Linked DNA regions of Bombyx mori. The protein of the gene in region 2 purifies or fractionates together with the protein of the main gene of each other region. This does not show direct contact. Links are inferred from orthologs where the notes say so. Each region holds a gene or a part of one and is shown on either strand. Other genes may lie near its edges.

Evidence for each region.
Region 1: the proteins of dynamin-1-like protein (region 2) and VIG purify together in Homo sapiens (affinity purification with mass spectrometry; 3 studies listed by BioGRID and IntAct, with this or other methods). This does not show direct contact. The link is inferred for Bombyx mori from reciprocal best matches to the Homo sapiens genes DNM1L and SERBP1.

Annotation. Positions count from the first base shown.
Region 1 is NC_085116.1:3,011,007-3,014,096, reverse strand, and holds VIG (plasminogen activator inhibitor 1 RNA-binding protein-like), read right to left. Parts: upstream 1,995-3,090; coding exon 825-1,994; 3' UTR 725-824; downstream 1-724. UniProt on the Homo sapiens protein: Ribosome-binding protein that promotes ribosome hibernation, a process during which ribosomes are stabilized in an inactive state and preserved from proteasomal degradation.
Region 2 is NC_085119.1:10,597,085-10,600,921, reverse strand, and holds part of dynamin-1-like protein, read left to right. Parts: intron 1-184; coding exon 185-330; intron 331-906; coding exon 907-1,050; intron 1,051-2,288; coding exon 2,289-2,462; intron 2,463-3,579; coding exon 3,580-3,651; intron 3,652-3,837. UniProt on the Homo sapiens protein: Functions in mitochondrial and peroxisomal division.

The DNA.
Region 1 (3,090 bases), on a different chromosome or scaffold from region 2:
GTGATAAAATGTGTCAACAGTAAAATATATCTATCTTACTATTTGTTTTATTGTGACCTATTTCTGTACCCATCCTGTAGTTTTAAATGAATATAAATTTCGATGATTTACCACGAAAGAAAATATTCATTCACAAGATTATAGTATCAAAATTTAAAATGTAGGGGGGAGGCATTTGGATAAGAGGACAGCTCAAGAATTTAAAAATAACCAAGAAATGTATCACACATACAAAATGTTTATTTACTCAAGAAGTTCGTGTAACAACAAATATTAACCTTGTTCTTTTTGACCTTATCTTTAAAATATAACTATTTACAGTTCCCAGTCTGCATTTGTCAACACAAACTCATGATATAAAATGCAAGGGTTATTTCTTCACAAAATACTATACTAACTTGTGACGGAGTAGATTCAAACTCATCCATAGCTTGTCGTCAGTCTGAAGGTTGAAATCTTATTATCACCGATTACTCAACCAGTAAAATGAAAAGCTGGTGTGATTACAATATAATAAAAGCTATTGTTATAAATCCACAATAATAAGTATGTAGCAGTAGTATGTGTATCAAAAAATAAAACTTAAACAAGACGAATCCTCCCCCTTTACTCCTTTCCACAGAAACATGTCAATCCCCAGGCAGCGTTGCAAGTTATAATCAACTCACAAAATTTAGAGCCAATAACTACGTAGACTGATTTCAATGTAATACAATACACACTCTTGTAAATATATTGTATATTTACTTCAAAAATAACAGTACATACATTATAATTTGTAACTCTAGCTTCGAAAGGGAGAAGAATCTAGACTCACTGCGAGTCTAGCTGAGAGAGGGGAAATCCTTGCTGTCGTCGACCTTCGGCGGCGTCACGTGGTGACGCTGTACCGGGCGCTCCTCCACGACCGGCGGCTCCTCGCGCGGCACTCCTCGTCCGCGACCCCGGCCCCGTCCGCGGCCTCGCCCGCCCACACCGCCGCGCCTCGCACCGTCACTAAATGTGAACTCAATGCCCAACAAACGCTTCTGGCGACCCACGCGCTGTGGATAGTCGGCCAGATCGTATTCCTCGTCAGTTTCCTCATCATCACCACGGTCACCTTCCTTCTTGCGTTCCAACAGAACCAGGTTTTTCCACTGGCTCAAGTCTTCACCCTCACCTGCCTTCCTCAAATTGTACTGCGGAGCGGTGCGTTGCGCGTTGCGTAAAGCCTTGTATTCATCGAGTGTCAACTCACGCGGTTCTTCCTCAGCGGGCACTGCACGTTCAGTTTCAGGCACTTGTCCATCGCCAGCGCCGGCTTCAGGAGCCTTCTCTTCAGTAGTTTCACCCTCAGAACCGGTTTTGTTCAACTCGTCGAGATCGTCCTTGATCGTGCCCCAGTTGTGGGGACCTGCGCCCTCCCTCTTGTCGACTGATTTCACACCGGTTTTGTCAGAGCCGGATCTTCGGTCGAACTCACGTTTGCCTCTATTGTCAAAAGAACGCGGCCCGCGCGGTCCCTCACGAGGCTCACGCGGTGGTCTTGGTGGACCGCGACGCTCTGCACCGTCCTGGTTGTTGTCGTTGAAATTGCGGCGCTCGTTGAAGTTAGGCCGACGATCGCCGAACTCGCGTCTCGGTGGCCGCGGAGCTCCTTCCTTGTTTTCTGCGGTACCGTTCTGCGGCCGATCTTCACGACGACGCGGAGGCGGACGCTCAACATTACGATCGACCGGGCGTGCAGGTCCCTTACCCTTCTGTTGTTCTCCACTTTTGATGTCTTGAGACTTCACATTTTGAGTTTCCTTAATGCCCTTCCGGGTGGGAACGGTTACGCCTTTAGCGGGCTTGGGTTCAGGCTTGCCTTTGTTCTCTTTTTCGGCTTCTTTGGTCTTCTTTTTGAGCTCCTTCGCCTGCTCTCGCGCTTTTAACGCATCAAGAGGATCGGTCTCATCGTCCAAGAAAAGAGCGTATCTGTTCACTACTCCCACACCGTAGGAATTCTCCATTGTGATCCTCTTGATGATTTAATCACACAATATTTAGATGTTATTGGATTACTTTCCGCGCACTAGTAAGGCGACATTTTGTCTTATTTTATTGATTTCATTTAATATGGCGGACCGATTCGAACAACTACTACGCCATATGACGAAAAGGAATAGAGTAAAGAAACAAAATGGTGGAAAAACTTTTTAATTGTCTATGGTCTATACTGGCACAAATGACATTCTACTATAGTCGAACGATCAAGGATTTGTTTCAAATAATATACCTATTTTTCATTTCTATTTTATACTACCTAATAATCATTGTTCCAGTTTAAACTGTTATTAATTGATACCCATGCAGCCATGCACGTTCTGAATTAAAGATTCAGATTCTCGGCTTGTTCCTCGATTAGTTTTTGTGAGAACAAAAAATTTAAAAATAAATAATGGGCAAAAACTTTTCAATACACCTTTGTTTGTATGTCTCATTTGTACAATTGTCTCATCCATATTAACAAGATAACTGGAGGCATAATCAATCTAATAGGCATATGGGAATCCATATAGAGTCCCTTCTTTATTTCGCCGTAAAGTCGTGTTTTATGTAATTAACACCACAGTTGAAACAATAGAAATTTTATTGTTGTAGCGGCATAAACAATTCTAAGTAATTATATTACATTAGTTATTAAACACATTATAAATTATATTTTCGTTTTAAATTGGTGGTAAAAAAGGTCCCGTCTCACAGACTATATTCTTTTTCCCATCTCTCGTGCGTTCCGGCTTACGCATCATAAAAATGTGCGTTCTTAAACGCCACAGGCATTTGCAAACAATGTATAAATCATCACAAATTGTTTTCCCGATAAATTGATAATGTTTGAAGCTATTATTAATAATCATGTACTTGCCTTGGTAGCCTTGAAAGCGTAACTTTGCTAATTTCATTTATAGGTAGTAGGGATGTAAACCGGTTCGAAGAAAACCGGAGAAAAACCGGTTTTTATACATACCGATAAATACCGGTTTTTATTTAAGAATACCGGTTTTTTACGCTTTACATTTACAGTTCATACCAGTGCTACCAGATCAAATATACAAGCTACAAATA
Region 2 (3,837 bases):
ATGATAGCTGTGTTTCAATACTATTATAACTACCACATAAAATTTCAGGATGAACGTTCACTTAGTTATGTCAATGATGTCCAGTAACCACATGAGTCCATAGACCATGAATCTGTCTATTTAATAAGAATAAATAATGTTTTCGATGTGTACACTCTAGTTTATGTATTGTATTCGTCGCCAGGTTTGACCCGCATGGACATTTTGACCGCGATCCGCAACGCTACAGGCCCTAGACCGGCTTTATTCGTCCCTGAGGTATCTTTTGAGCTTCTGGTCAAGCGACAGATTAGAAGACTGGAAGACCCTTCGTTACGTTGTGTTGAACTGGTATGCTTATTGTTAATAATCTTAAAAATATTTACAAAATATTAAAATTAAAAATATATTTCAAACATATTAAATAATAATTATTATTAGGCAAATTAATATACATTAGTAATATATCGCTTACTTATTTGAAAATTTAATTAAATTTCATTCTTAAATGAACGACTCATAGTAGTCATTACACAGCTATACCATGATCATACACTCATTATTTTATGTTGCTGTTGTTGACCACTAGAACGTTATTTAATTATTCTGCTGTCTGTACACTACTATATAGGTTTACTTTTAGTGCTATATATTAAGCAGTAGATAGAGCATTTGAAATTTTATACCTACCGTGAACATTTCCAGAACTGCCCTTCGTATATGTTATAGGACTACACCCTGTATTTACATGATTATTATGAATAAATTTCATAGCCATAGTATATTTTTACCACACCCTGTATTTACTTACATGACTATTATGCTTAAATTTCATTAATGGTATTTATTAGCCATAGTATATTTTTTTACTAATGCCTTTTCACCCAATTGTAAACAAGCATTATATTCGTTTATTTCAACACACAGGTACACGAAGAAATGCAGAGGATCGTTCAGCACTGTGGCACAGAAGTCCAGCAGGAAATGCTACGTTTCCCACGCCTGCACCAGCGCATCGTCGACGTCGTCACGCAGCTGCTGAGGACTAGATTGCCTCCGACCAATTCTATGGTAAGTCGATTTGTTATACAGCATTCATAATACACCATTGTATCGAAAGCGCCAACGAAAATGATAGACAATCCTGATACGACCTATATCCTGCTATATATCCTTTTTATTTATTTATTTTTTATTGCTTTGGTGGGTGGACGAGCTCACAGCCCACCTGGTGTTAAGTGGTTACTGAAGCCCATAGACATCTACAACGTAAATGCGCCAGCCACCTTCAGATATAAGTTCTAAAGTCTCAAGTATAGTTACAACGGCTGCCCCACCCTTCAAACCGAAACGCATTACTGCTTCACGGCAGAAATAGGCAGAGTGGTGGTACCTACAAGAAGTCCTACCACCAATAATTCTGTCGTCATTCAGTATCAATGCTGTGGGTAGATGTTATGCGCCTCACGGGCAATCGCCACTTATCTCGGTTTGTGGTGAGCTTGATACGCTCATGTAAACAACCGCCAACCGCCGACTTTACTTTGTCGATCGATCGCATGGGCAACCTTCCACGCGGTCTGGTGCCTCTTACTTTGCCCTGAACGACAAAGCGCTCTATGGAGTCATTTCCTCGCCGGGAGATATGTCCAAAAAATGATAGTATGCGACAAGCTGTAATTTTATCTGATGGTTCGTAGAACATACAGTCAGAGACCATCGCTTTACAACCCGTATAGCTTTATCTGTTTCCAGTTGTAAAAGCTGACGCATAGTATCTTGTTTAACTAACTTTACTAATTTAATTTATAGTATTTATAGTAACTAGTTTAATCCTTGCTTGCGAAAATTTTCATTTATCAAAATTATTTTTAATAATGTACAAGTGTAAATGTTGTGCTGCTTGCCAGTAATAGTCATAGTATTATCGCGCTTTCTTTTATTTTATTTTATTTTCTTTGTTGTTTCGTTGTAGGCTGCCCACAGGTTGTTATTACTGTGTGTGCTTATGTATGTTTTGTATTCGGGTTCACCATTTAATTTGATTTTTGTTTCGTTTTTTTATACTAGTTTATACCATGTTTTAAGTCTGTACACACGTACCTAGCCTTCATTCCCGCAAAGAACCAAAGGGAAACGGGGGTGACTGAAAATCAGCGCTGTTCGATTTATCGACCTTGAACAGCATTAGCTGAGCCATCTCCTTTTGCCTTTTTCTCTTTTTTTTCTTCTCTTTTATTAGTATTTTATTTTGTTTAGAATGTGAAAGGCAATAAATGATTTTATGATTATTATTATTATTGTTGTAGGTGGAGAACCTGGTGGCTATCGAGCTTGCGTACATAAACACGAAGCACCCCGACTTCCACCGCGAGGCGGCGCTGGTGTCCGGCCTGCTGAAGAGCGGCGACGACGACCACAGTCCCGTCTATAGACACAAGACTCCCAGGCCTTCTCCCTCACCGGTATCCAACTTGATCAAAGTAAAACCGCTTATTATGAACACGTCTGATGTTTCACTAATTATACTAAGCCTACACGTGTGTTGTGACTGTGTGTGCGTATAATTAGAAGGAAAAAAAGGTTTTATATTAACTTTACCAAGCAAAGCATGCAATTGGAACTTCACTTAAAATATTACTAAACACTGTTTGCATCTTTAAAACAAAAACTGAGTACTGATACACTCAAAAACTATCGAGAGTCGTTATATTTTTATTCAGAATCATTTATATATGCCGTATACGCATATGTCGTGTTTGTTTGTTTTAAAAAAAAACTTATCATCAAATCATTGAAAATTTTACATAAACATGCATCTACCCAGGTAAGTTTTATTCACAATTGTTTGTATTAACAACGACTAACGGTAATTTTAGTGTCGGTTCGAATCTTAAATTACATTTTTTTAAACTTTTGCGGCTATCCCCATTAAACGCACTATTATTAAGACTTTCCTTTACCCGACAAGATCCAATTACGGTTCGACTCGCTGGATTCGAGTGGTAACATCAAAAATGGACTAAAGAAAAGCTGAATATATTTGTTTGTTAACAACAGTTTTTTTTTATGACCTGGTGACAGAGACCTTTAGGTCATATCTTATTTGGAAAATTTTCATTACTTTGGGTTAACAACACCTTATCTGCAGTCTTCAATCTACCCTACAGCAACTAAAAATCGTAGTATGACAAGCCGTTAAGTAATAATGTGTATTATCTAAACCAGAACTGTCCAGAAAACGACTTGTTATCATGCGGCCCGCGACGCATGTTTTAATCAGAAAATAGTTTTGAATATAAATAGTATGGACAATAGAATTCTTTGTCAAATCATATAATCATTATTTGGTATTATTTATCTGTATTCTTGTAACATACCATTCCCATGACATCATTTAAAAGTGAAGTTATCTTTTACATAATTTTTTTTTTAATATTTTAGTCTGGAAAGTATTTTGTTTTTGAAAATATTTTTTTCTGCGGCCCCTTCCAGCTTTTTTAGTAAATTTAATTAGCCCGCAAAGGTATGTAATTTGGACGGCCCTCATCTAAACGATATGTTAAGGTTATATAAATTACTATCTCGAAATTTTTGTAGCTGTTTCTCCGACAAATGGGTGAAAGAGGGTCCGCCCTAGTATTCTTGGCAAGCGTATTGGACGCGTACAAGGTAATTGTGGCGTGGTTATATTCGGGTCGCCATTAACTCGCCTCACTCATTCTCGATTCATTGTCCTACTAAACTTGTGTTGTGACGTTCGATGTCGTGCCATTTGAATACTGTATGGACTCTTTTTCATGATCACAGTGAAGTCGACCTATGAGCGATTGTCAGTAGAAACAATCGGAATATTTG